Xenopus tropicalis: one gene and its partners. The protein of the gene in region 3 binds, or shares a complex with, the protein of the main gene of each other region. Links are inferred from orthologs where the notes say so. Each region holds a gene or a part of one and is shown on either strand. Other genes may lie near its edges.

Region 1 (4,103 bases), on a different chromosome or scaffold from region 3:
GAGTTATTTGCAGTCAAAGTCTGTGGCAATACAAATCCAAGCGACCTGCCAGTATCCAGGAATGCAGTCTGCATAGTTCTCTGTCTGTTGTCCTCTGGGCTCTGGAGGCAAAAAGAATAGAAAATGTAGAGGGACAGAGAGAGGGAGAGAGAGAAAAGAGGCAGCTTTTGAATCAACAATACCATTTTCCGTGAAGTAATGGTTCTGTATAAAAGGAAATATCGCCTACTCAGTTTCATTCAGCTGTGCCAAAAATGTTAGAAATGAGTGGCCGCCAACTTGCAGCGGAGGATGCCAGACTGCGCTTAATAAACTGGCCCTATAGAAGTTCATTATCGATGGGGCAATCTCTGGGGCTATGAAAGGAGACCGCCTACGTCGTCCCATTCCTGTCTGATACTCCAGACACTGCCACTTGAAAAGACTGTCACTTGGGGGGGGGCAAATTTAGGTATTAAACTTGTATTTGTCCCTGAAGACTCCCAGAGAGCTGGATGTGGGAGCAGACACTTAACTACTGTTTCAGGTTCTGGGAGTTATATTTTAAAAGGCACTTTAAGAGTTTGAGTGGGAGGTGGGTGGGGGGCAAGTCCTAACCCCCCCTCTTTAGACAGTGCGCCCCGATGTTGCCCGGTCTTTGCTCAGAAGGTGCCCAGGGGGAGCCAGAGTGGGTAGGTCCTGCCCAACAAGGCTGAGTCTGGGAGAGGTCACGTCATTGTCCTGTGCGCACCCAGCAGCACCTATAGCAGCGCTTCCCACTCACATGCCCCACTCCTATAGCAGCGCTTCCCACTCACATGCCCCACTCCTATAGCAGCGCTTCCCACTCACATGCCCCACTCCTATAGCAGCGCTTCCCACTCACATGCCCCACTCCTATAGCAGCGCTTCCCACTCACATGCCCCACTCCTATAGCAGCGCTTCCCACTCACATGCCCCACTCCTATAGCAGCGCTTCCCACTCACATGCCCCACTCCCTGCTGCTGCCTCTGCTGCTGCACAAGTAGCCACACTGCTGCTCCATTTCCCCACCAGCTGCTGGACAAGTTTCACTCTCTCTCTGCTTGGGACTCAGCAAACACTCCTTGCTACATTCTCTCTAGGATCTACCTACCCACTGTTCATTGGAAAAGGTTTCCAGAAGGTGGAAAATGTCACCTGATTCACTCTGAATTTTTCTTTTTACCCCACCCCCAAACACACACACACATTAGGAGACCGCCCACCGCAGACAGCTAAGACCCCCTTATAGATTTAAAGAGAGACTGCATTAGAGGCTGCTGTTCATTCAATAGAGCGATCATAAGCAGAGTCCGGAGTTGTGCCTGGTCCATTATCCCATCTCTCCACTTGAGACTCTGCTGCTTCTCCACTCTCTGCACTGAGGATGTTAAATGAAAGGATCCAGCCGGGCATGATTTTCCTCCTGACTGTCTCTCTGTGCCATTTCATGGAACATCGCGCAGTCCAAGGTAAGAACCTGAAGGACTTGATCACTCTTTTTGGATTTTCTTTCATTTTTTTTGGTATTAGGGCAGACAGTAGGAGAGGCAAGTTAGGCTGGTGACTTAGATCAGACTTCACTTTTACATATCTGCAATATCAAGATGGTAGTTCTGGATTTTAAGGGCTACAGTCAACTTGGCTTCCAGATTTATTAATGTGTATATAAATGTATCGGCAGAGAGTGCTACTTTACTATCAGTGGTTACAGTTATGTAACGAATCTAGTGACTTATTAGGGACTTGCGAGGATGTCGGTATTTGTTTCGTACTACTCTAGTTGTACTCCAGCTGGTGGGACAGAAGTTGTGGTGGCAAGTCATTGGCTGCCAGCCCCCTACTATACGTAGCAGAGGCGCAGTCGGACCCAGCGGTGCGCAGAATTTCTTCCAACTGACGCAATCTGCCTTGTGCTAATTGCTGCCTACTTGCAGTGTTAGTTGGCGCAATTCCAAATGGAACTAGTTGTAGTGAGTTGTTTAGAACTATTGCTGTTCAGCTTATCCTTTCTCTTAACTTTAAAAAAGGGGTAACATAGCGTGGGATTGGGGAGAAAACACGTTTCGAAATGGATTAGTGTTGCATGTAGATGTTCTGAATGTGCCTGGATTGCAACATGAGGTTGGATCGCAGGCTTGACAACTGACGCACTTGATACTGTAATATTTCAATAAAGCAGGGGTTTTATGGGCTCGTTATCTCAACATCTGGATGGGAGGCTGTTCAACAGCGCGGCCAATTAACCCTTTGTGTAGCCTGGGTGGATATCTATAGAGTGGAAGCCCTGAAGGGGTTAACCGTGCAAGTGTGAGCGGTTTGGCTGGGGAGAGACTGCTGTTACTAGTGCAGGTTATGAAAGAGGCCGAATAAAAGTAAACAGTCTAGTGGAAGTGAGCGCAGAGCACACGTGTTGTGTCTGGGTCACTGCTAAGTGACACTGATATGGCTGGGCCGCTGTCTCTTACAGCTGGGAATTGCTGGCTGCAGCAGTCGAAGAACGGCCGATGTCAGGTTCTCTACAGGACTGAGCTGAGCAAGGAGGAATGCTGCAAGACTGGCAGGCTGGGTACCTCATGGACTGAAGAGGATGTACCCAACAGCACCCTCTTCAAATGGATGATATTTCATGGAGGGGCCCCTCACTGCGTCCCCTGCAAAGGTACTTTACTTGACAATTTTTACTACCATCTCCTCGTTTTGAAAATGAAAGGGTTAAATTCCTACATCTCTGTAAGCAAAGAAGTCGAGAGAAGTTTTTTTTTTTTTTAGTACTTTAACATACAGTCTCTACTGACACGTTGTAGGAATACATGATTTAACCATCCCTGTGTATGCTTGATGCGACCTGTGCTTCCATGAAACCATGAAGCTGCCATATGTATTTATATACCCGCATACTTGACATATTTTGAACTGCTTTTGGCATTATTTTTGTATAGGGGGACGCAGCCACACAGTCCATATGTGTGTATGTGTGTATGTGTGTGTGCAAGAATAATCTCACCCAGCTCAGACTTTAGGATACTGTGCTAGCAGATTCTGGCCACCTACACTTGCTTATTATGTGTTATTTTTCACGGAGGGATTTATTAAAGTGAAGGGGACATCTGCACTCAATTTTGAGTTCGCTTTCTGGAGGAACTTTTGTTCTCTCTCCATAGATACTGCATGCTGTTTTAGCTATTAGGCACAGAGGGGAAATACTTTTCTTGTACTAGTAAGTTCCCAGTGTCAGGAGCTTGTATGAATCTGGCATATCTATCTATCATCTATCTATTTATCATCTATATTAGATACCATAACACCCCAGATGATCTTTATGTAATGGCACAGGCACATTAGTCCCTGAAAGTCTAGACATGCTGCTGAGATATGGGGCTATTTATCACATTCCTAGTAATACTATTTCTTGAGTACTTTGCCCACTGGCTAATTAAACCTGTTGCACTTACAGAAACATGTGAGAACGTAGACTGTGGCCCTGGGAAGAAATGTAAAATGAACAAGAAGAACAAGCCGAGGTGTGTCTGCGCTCCGGATTGTTCCAACATTACTTGGAAAGGTTCCGTGTGCGGAATAGATGGCAAAACCTATAAGGATGAGTGCGCTTTGCTCAAAGCCAAATGTAAAGGGGTCCCGGAGCTGGATGTGCAGTACCAAGGAAAATGCAAAAGTAGGTTAAACAAGTGGGGGGAGTTAGGGATCTGTGGGCTGGGAGGGACAGCCACATTAGATTGCTGTGATGTTACCTGAACCTCATGGGTGGGCAGCATGGAAAAGAAAGCTCTCATTGGGTGGCTTTTAGTAGCCTGAGAAGCTTTTTTGGTGCGCATTGGCTTGGGAGTTGCAAAACTTTATGTGATATAATACGGGTCCCATAAAGTACATAGTATATGGAGTAAATAAGAGCAATTTATTATGACCTTACGCTTAGCTGTGCCCCAGTAGTGCTGTAAGTCCATCTGTCATTCATTGCGCCTTTATACTGATCGATGTGCGCCCTTGCGCTTCTTTCTCTTTCAGAAACTTGCAGGGACGTGCTGTGCCCAGGGAGCTCCACTTGTGTGGTGGATCAGACCAATAACGCCTACTGTGTGA
Region 2 (4,274 bases), on a different chromosome or scaffold from region 3:
AACTGACTTTGGCTAGTTTGGAAAAATAAACATGGCAACCCTGCCCTGCACTATGTATTCCCACTTAATACTCAGGAACGTCCAGAAAAATAATAAAAGACGCCTAAATATTATAATAATTGTTAGTATAAACATGAAGCACGGAGACTACATTCCACCCGATGTAAAGCAGCTCCCAGTACCCTCCAATGCGAGGTTGAGAGCTGTAGTTCGGCAACAGTAACTGTACTTCAGCTCCTGCAAAGCTCAACGGCTAGTATTGCTCCTGACCAACACTAAAATAACACATTCACTTTGTCCCAAATAACACTACTTTCTCGCCCCACCCCGCTCCCTTCGCGTCACTTCCGGAAACCCGCCCACTGCGTTTTGCCCACTCCTTATTGGCCAAAGCGCAGTTTCGGGACGACGTCCCACGCCGCGGCGCTATTGGCTCCGCTATCCGCCAGTCACAGTGGGCGGTGCCGGGTTCTCTCAGGGCTGGCTGAGGGAGGGAAGGCGAGAAAACAAAAACAATCGGTGCGGGGGCCGCCATCTTGGGCCAGAGGGGGGGCAGCAATCCGCGCTGCTGAATGGGGAGAGATGAGATTAGCCCGGGAGGTGGCGGACGTTCAGACACGTTGCGCTGGAGCTGGCGGAGGGAGTAAAGGCGGGCAGTTACCGTCACGGAGCGGCTCCTTGCCGAGGCGTGAGTGAGGGACAGACCGACCGACTCTCTCATTCCTTGGGCGCTTGTACCGTAACGCCCGTGTTTGTATTGGATCCCGGGAAGCGGGGGGCTCGGATATATCCCCTCATCCCTGGCCATGGGAACTTCATGGGCACTTGGGTACCAGCTGGGCTAACCTTTCATTCTACCAGCCCTTTCCTATTAGTATTCCTGGGGCACCACCACTGGCACAGCTCAGGGGGGGCGAAATCCCTCATACCCCCCAAGTCTGGCACACCTGCCCCATCCCACCCTTTCCTGGCTGACCCTCATACCCCCCCATCTCTTCTCCCCATGGACACGTCCTGCTCTTCCTAAAGGTTCCACTTGGCTATCCGTAGCATTATATGGGGGACACCCTATGAACTCCTGTTCCCTGTGGTATAAACCCCCCCTAAAGTTTCTCTTTGGACTGGTCCATCTCTGCTCTCTGGGATAGATCCTAAAGATTCCTAATGGACGTCAGCTCTGCACTCTGGGGTAGATCCTAAAGATTCCTAATGGACGTCAGCTCTGCACTCTGGGGTAGATCCTAAAGATTCCTAATGGATGTCAGCTCTGCACTCTGGGGTAGATCCTAAAGATTCCTAATGGACGTCAACTCTGGGGTAGATCCTAAAGATTCCTAATGGACGTCAACTCTGGGGTAGATCCTAAAGATTCCTAAAGGACGTCAACTCTGGAGTAGATCCTAAAGATTCCTAAAGGACGTCAACTCTGCACTCTGGGGTAGATCCTGATGGACTGGTCCAACTCTGCACTCTGGGGTAGATCATCATCTCTATTAGGGTAGATTGTAAAGCTTCTCACTGGACATCGTTTCTACTCTCTGGGATTTATGCTAAGATTTCTCCATGGACACGAACAGCTTTCTCTGGGTTGGATCCTAAACAGACATATCCAGCATTCTCTGGGACAGAGCCTAAAGGTTCTTGGCTATATACATCTCTCTGGGGAACATCCTAAATATTCTTCATGGTCATATATAGATTTCTCTGGGATACATCCTAAAAGTTTGCCATTGATATTAACTGTTTAGATCCCTCCCCAGACTTCTTGATTTGTGATTCTCCCTTTATTATAATCTAGTTTTACTCTGGGATATATCTTTAAACCCCCCCCCCCCTCCCTCAGGCTTTCTGCTTTCTCTGGGATCGATCCTAAAGGCTTTCCATGGATATATGCTTTATCTGGGATAAATCCTTATTGCTTTATCTGGAATGGGCATAAACTGTTTTCTCTCGGATTGTTTCTAAAAAGATCTTTGCGGACGCCTGCTGCTTCCTCTGGGATAGGTCATTGGATTGTTAAAAAGGAACACAAACTGTAAAGGAAAAAACATGGGAGCTGCTACCAAGCTGGCCTTTGCAGTCTTTCTTATCTCCTGTTCCTCAGGTAAGACAGTCTCACACGTGTTTGTGGTTGGTCTAATAAAATGGCTGATACGCCAGTTAAATGTCAAATCCTTACGGGGATGTCTGTGTGTATGCACCGATTGCTTTGAACACAATCTGGCATTGTAAAAGTGACACTTTTAGCTGCCAGTTACCGCAGATGAGTTAGCATTATATTGGTTAGATCTGCAGTTACCTACGTAGTATCAGTTCACTTTAAACTACCTTTCATCTGTATCACGCAAGTCTCTTTAGTTTTATCATCATGGCAGTCTCCATAATCTGATTTTATTTCTTTCAAGTCGTTTTTGTGTATCTAGCTGTAAACGGCCTGCCTTTCTTTAAGGGGGAAACTAGGTAACACGAGAATCTTTAAACAAAATTTGCACTGTATGGGCAAGGTGTCTGCTCCGGGCACGGAATGGCAAGGCTGCAACTCGCCCGTAGCTAGTTGCGGGGTTGCAGAATGCTTAGCATTGCAGAATAATTTGCAAAGTAAGTGGTTTAGGCAGGTGGCAAGCCCTATACAGTTCGGCTCACTGATAGATGCATTGCCATGGCTGCTTTGTGCACACATCGCTGCAGGATTTCTTGCTATAGTTGTGTGATAATCAATCAACATCCACTCAGCCCTATGTACGCATTAATATTCCCATTGCAAGGTTTGTTCATTGCACTGTAGCTTTATTTGCTTTAAGCGAGTCGTCCCAATTAAATCTTGTATATAGGTGGGGGACAATGGATGACCTTCTTTATGTGCGACATTGGTTTTTAGGCATTAACTTATATGAACTGCAAAAAAAAAAAACCCTCTGGAATACAACAGTCTAGTGTATAACTAGATTTTATCTAGAAAAGCCTGGGGTGGTTAACCTAATAAGTGCCAGGGATTCTTTAAGGATATTTCCATTGATTGTGAAGCCATCTATCAAAAAGCATTAAATTCTTTCATTGCCAAAGGGGCAAACAAGCCTGTTCCAAGTCTGTCTGGCAGCAAAAGGATTAACTGGCTCCAGTGCCCTTCTGGACAGGCATACATAGTGTTTTTTTGGAGCAACCCTTGGGCTTTTTCAGCCTCTCAGACTTCCATAATCCTCGCAGATTTCCATTTTATTAAGAGGAGTGTGCTTTATCCAGCGCTGTCATTCAGCTGCTGACATTTACCTGAATTTGTATGTATCGCCCAGTCGCAGGCTCCTTTTATTTAACCAAGCACGAACTGAATCCCACTGTCTTTGCTTCAAGAGCTTTTACAGTTTAAACTGCTCGCGTCTTGGAACCGGTCAGATTCACGCTTAGACGGGAAGCTGCATTGATTTCCTCATTTATTTTCCCCCATTGTGTTGCGGACCTGTCAGGGTTTATGCCAACTTAGCAAATGGTGTGTTGCGCTTTGGAAAATCTGCTCACTTGTCCAGAGCTGAGCAATGAAAGGCCGTGTTGTTTGCGAACAGAAGAAACGTGAATGCTTAATGTCTGATTTATCTGTTCCTTCCAGCCAGTGGAACGTGTTCTGGTTCATTGGTGCAGAGTACGCTATAGAGTCGGACCATTCTCCGGCCTTTCAGATTTGATTTCACTCTCCAGTTGCTCCTGAGTTGCTTCGGTATTGTTCCCCAAAGTCAGACATTCAGCTTTATTTATAAAGCTTTCAGGTCTTCAAGGGCTCTGCTGAATGGATCTTTTTCCTTGTGGTTATTAAATAGGGGGAGAGTCTAGCCCTATGTCTGTAGTGGTATTGATTCAATGTGGGCAGATTGTGCTGTGAAATTGCATTTTCTGCCCAAGATTAACTCGATAAAAGACCAAATGCCACTTTTAAAAAATGTAATCACAAACATTTCGTCGTTCAATTTCGTTTTAAAGTATCACGTTGCTAAAGCTTATCAAAGGGTCACGTTTCAGATCTGTAAGATCTCGTAGTAATTAAGGGGAAAGACTTAAAGCAAATTAAACCTGAAATAAAGATGTAAACATTGGTAAGAGTTCTTCTCTGAAATATTGTGTGTTTTACATTTTTCATGTTTTAGTGGTTTCTTAGAAGCTTGCAGTTTTAGATTGCTAATATGAGAAGCTCTTTTAGGGTTAATTTATGGTTAACTGGCTCTGCAGGTGGCACATTGAAAGTCAGTGACCATAGCTAAGAGAGCTGCTGAACCATTAAAATGTGA
Region 3 (3,941 bases):
ATCTTGTGTCTCCTACTGTAACCATCCAACCCACAGAATGAATCTGGCTGTTGAGACCAAACAAAGTCTGGCCATGCAGCAGCCTGCAGAGCTTGTTAGAATAGACTAGGGTAATGGAATGCACAGACACATGACATCACGTGCCAGCAGTCAGAGCAGACCTATTTGTTGAACAGGGCATTATCAATCACTTTATTAACCCAATTTAACAGCTCAAGCTTGGCACTGAAAATGATGACAAATAATGACTACCTTTGCTGGTTTCAAACTTTTGCTGAATGAGCCAATTTTCTCCCCCTAAACTGACTTGCATAAACTGTTATACCTGTACAGGTTTGTTTGTGCAGCTACTGCAACAGTTCAGACCTATTAGAACTGAACAAGGAGATAAATAGACAGACAGACTTTGGCTTTGGGTGACACAAAAGCAACTTTTCAAAAACTGTGCCTTGCAGTGTTTAGAGAATTATAACTATAACATACATTTATAATCTATATATATATAGATATATCTAGTTGACCGAATGTGCCAAATAACAAATTAACAATGCAGCTGGTTATTATACTGAGTGGAATTTGCATTCTTTTTTAAGGCATAACCATTTTTCTATCCACAGCCTGGATGATAGGAGCAGAAGCATGAATAGGACCCAGGCTGTATATGGCTAAGTGGGGTTTACCTCACAACTGCCAGCCTCATGGAAGAGAACAGATAATGCAGTACTACACTGTATTCTCAGAGGCAGCAAATCGCTGGCAGGAATGTCTGATCTGGGAGCATGCACACTTCTGCAAGGCTTTCCTGCAGACAGAACATCTGAGTCAACAGGTTTTCAAGACTGGAAACTCTGAGCGCTGTCTTAATTGTTTATATTCCTGCAGCACATTTTAAACAAAATTGCTTCGAGTTCCCGCACATACTTTGCTTACGATATGCTGCACTAAACAATGGCATTCTTTTCCAACTGGCTCAGTGACCAGATAAAATGCTATTATAAGAGGGCTTCTTTTAAAGTTACTGCTAGCAATAGCTGCAGGGGGAAAAGAAAAAGAAAGGAAGGAAGAAAGGAAGAAGAAGTCTGAGTTTTGACAGCTCCACAGCTTAAGAGCTGCTGTAGTTTGTTTGCAGCAACAGTTTTCAACACAGTCTGCGGAACATGCTGAACTATTTTATTCTTATGAATGGGAGACAGGAGCTGTGTCAAAACATACTCAATCAAGACTGGGTTTCACCGGTGGCGTTCAGAGGGCTTTTACAAGAATCTTGCTTACAGAAGACAGATAAAAGTTGTGCCTCCACATTTTGCTCTGGCTTACTCTAAAAGGTAAGCAACATGCTTATATGGGGTGGGGGGAGATCTCTCAAACATTTTTCTGCTGTGAAACCGATAAATCTGCAAGTTTGCCCGTTCCAGCTGTAAGCTGCTTAGCAATACAAGTGCACTGCAGCAGCAGCAGTCAGCCCCTGACTCTGGCAAAGGAGCCAGTGAAGCTTTGCAAGGCAGGCTGTGGCTGGACTCTTTGGTGGTAAATGGGTGGAATTGAATCTTAAAGCGTCACGCATAAGCCACTACCTTCCTCTATTCAGATGCCTTTAATGATCATAACAGCTGACTTATAACCTTTTGACCAAATCTTTGGCAGTAATTATTTTTTACACTTCTAAGTGATTACTGAGCTATCAGCCTAATGATAAAAGCATATCCCCCAGTCCTTTATGGATTGTTTCACACTCTCTGCCTGCCTTCTTTTTTTTTTGCTTTTTCTATAGTTTTGGAGAGTGCCCATCCCCCTCAAGCACTTGTACTCTGTGTTAAAGATTGCCCAGAGATAGCTCATTCACTGTGAATTTAGCAAGTGCAAACAAGCATTCTGTGGCCAAGGTTAAATCTCAGGAAGAAAAAAAAACACATACACAAATTATTGCATTCTCCCTAGCTCCTCCTGCATGTTGTGATATTTTAGCCATAATTCCCTTTTGTTTATGAGCAGCACATATCCAATGTATGGTATTTAAAGGCTACTTTACTGTCTCACAAACTCACCTGATTCAGCAAAAGTGATGATTTCTGAAGTTTGCTCAGAGATTTCATTCATTTCTGCTCTTCCTGCAATGACATCCTCAATTTGAACTTGCCCATCGTCTCCCACTTTTCCCACATGTAGTTTCTTAATGGCATTCAAGAGAGCTGCTTTAGGCACTGTCTGTGTGATGTTTGGTCTGTCTCTTAAATGCAGCATATTCAATATGTGCTTCTTAACTGCCTCCACCATGTCACTCTGAGAACTGGGCACATCCTTTTGAAATCTTGCAAGGGCACAAGATGGACAGTCATTCACTGAGCTGTGCCCCTCAGATCCTGGAGTTGGGGAACTCCTCACTATAATCCAGCAAAGTACCAAACAAACTCCTTTCAGCAAGCGTGCAGGCATCCTGTCACCAGGTGATGATTCTTTCCCCCAAAACACTCAGCTTTTCTTTCTTTTATTTGCCTTTTCTGTCTCTATCTCTTCTTGTTTTGTGGAGAAAGTTAATTCCTTGAAATATACAGTATCTCTTTTCCTCCTTGAGAAAATTCTCAGAGACAAGCAAAAAGTTTCTCTTTTTCAGTAAAGTTTGGATTTGCAGTTTCTCTCTCTCTCTCCCTCTCCCTCTCCCTGGTTTAAGTGCTGTGGGTATTTGTGGCTGTCAGTGTGAAACGCTCTGACTTCTGTCTCTGCCTTTTGAGAGAGAGAGAGTGAAAGAGAGTAGAGACAGAGAGGACGGACTAGCCTGAAGTGAGTGAGTGAATGAGAGAGGGTGGGAGTTTGTCTACAGTATGAGTAAGGACTTCATTAGGGAAGGGGGAGGAACAGATTCTGACAGGCTGCTTTTGCTTAGTTCATACTAACACACACCTCTTCATATATCCCAAAGCTCATGCTTTTTGCTGCCCCCTCCCTTTAATCAGTCTTCTTTCTTTCTTTCTTTCTTTCTTTCTTTCTTTCTTTCTTTCTTTCTTTCTTTCTCTTTCTTTCTTTCTTTCTTTCTCTTCTGTCACTTTATCCATCTCTGTTCACCACTTTAACAGAATCACCCCTTTCTCCCTTTTCTAGCTCCTATTCCTCTCATATACAGACAGCCTCAGTATCCCATGTTGTCTCTCACTGACTGTGTTGGATTCTTTCTAATTTTCAGCTTACATTCTTCTGACATCTACTAAAGGCACAACATCATTTATACTGATATCTCTTTGCATTTGCCTCTGATCTGTAATAAACTATTCATTGTGCCAGAACAAGTTGTTGCACACACAAACTTTCTTTCCTGTAACTGGCATGTGCACTTTATCCTTCCATAGAGCAGGCATAGGCAATCTTCAGCCCTTCAGATATTGTGGGACTGTAGCTCTCAGAATGCCACTGAGAGCCAAAAACAAAGTTGGATAGGAGCAGATAGATAGAAGATAAATCTTTTACCTACACACTAGTATGTAACCCTTTCTGCTTATTGCAGCTATGATGGCAAATTAATATATATAAATATTACAATGATAAAAGGCTCTAATGACATTTAGAACAAAGTCCTGCGACTCAAATCAGTGAGCAACTCCACATACTACAGTCTGGGACTCTGTACTCCGCAACGAGTGATTCAGCACCATTGAATAGAGGAAAAACTTTTTTGCATCACTAACTGACTGTTTCTTTTACATTCCCCCTGAGGAGAAAGCAGATAGCCGGTGTCCCTTCTGACTTGGCTCCTTGCGGCAAGTTTTAGACAAAGATTGAGGCACTTAAGATCTGAACGCTGCTTATTTTGCCAGTGGAGTCCAATCAGCAGTGAGATATCAGGGAGCTAAAACAAAATCTGAAACAGGGTCTAAAATTGACAATGATACATACAGTGTAGAATTAATAGTGATTCTGTTGCATGTAAGAGAATGTATATTTTTTTTCTC

The links.
Region 1: the proteins of inhba (region 3) and fst are in contact, whole or in part, in a crystal structure (PDB 2P6A), measured with the Homo sapiens proteins. The link is inferred for Xenopus tropicalis from reciprocal best matches to the Homo sapiens genes INHBA and FST. Residues at the interface, in NP_002183.1 of Homo sapiens: Asp315, Phe327, Asp337, Trp338, Ile340, Ala341, Gly344, Tyr345, His346, Gly360, Thr361, Gly363, Phe368, Thr371, Arg397, Ser400, Leu402, Tyr404, Asp405, Asp406, Gly407, Gln408, Asn409, Ile410, Ile411, Lys412; in NP_037541.1 of Homo sapiens: Trp33, Arg35, Val44, Leu45, Arg60, Phe76, Met79, Asp135, Glu152, Pro154, Glu155, Val180, Val181, Asp182, Gln183, Tyr188, Val190, Arg221, Thr224, Cys225, Arg229, Ser230, Ile231, Gly232, Leu233, Glu328.
Region 2: the proteins of inhba (region 3) and acvr2a are in contact, whole or in part, in a crystal structure (PDB 7U5P), measured with the Homo sapiens proteins. The link is inferred for Xenopus tropicalis from reciprocal best matches to the Homo sapiens genes INHBA and ACVR2A. Residues at the interface, in NP_002183.1 of Homo sapiens: Ile340, Ala341, Pro342, His346, Arg397, Pro398, Met399, Ser400, Met401, Leu402, Tyr404, Asn409, Ile410, Ile411, Lys412, Asp414, Glu421; in NP_001265508.1 of Homo sapiens: Asn36, Asp53, Lys56, Phe61, Thr63, Lys65, Val74, Lys75, Cys78, Trp79, Leu80, Asp81, Asp82, Ile83, Asn84, Val100, Phe102.

Annotation. Positions count from the first base shown.
Region 1 is NC_030677.2:192,428,116-192,432,218, reverse strand, and holds the start of fst (follistatin), read left to right. Parts: upstream 1-1,299; 5' UTR 1,300-1,389; coding exon 1,390-1,474; intron 1,475-2,472; coding exon 2,473-2,664; intron 2,665-3,459; coding exon 3,460-3,678; intron 3,679-4,028; coding exon 4,029-4,103. UniProt on the Homo sapiens protein: Multifunctional regulatory protein whose primary function is to antagonize members of the transforming growth factor beta (TGF-beta) superfamily including activin, myostatin, GDF11 or bone morphogenetic proteins (BMPs).
Region 2 is NC_030685.2:77,286,277-77,290,550, reverse strand, and holds the start of acvr2a (activin receptor type-2A), read left to right. Parts: upstream 1-1,470; 5' UTR 1,471-2,049; coding exon 2,050-2,104; intron 2,105-4,274. UniProt on the Homo sapiens protein: On ligand binding, forms a receptor complex consisting of two type II and two type I transmembrane serine/threonine kinases.
Region 3 is NC_030682.2:57,853,819-57,857,759, reverse strand, and holds the start of inhba (inhibin beta A chain), read right to left. Parts: upstream 2,811-3,941; 5' UTR 2,434-2,810; coding exon 2,046-2,433; intron 1-2,045. UniProt on the Homo sapiens protein: Inhibins/activins are involved in regulating a number of diverse functions such as hypothalamic and pituitary hormone secretion, gonadal hormone secretion, germ cell development and maturation, erythroid differentiation, insulin secretion, nerve cell survival, embryonic axial development or bone growth, depending on their subunit composition.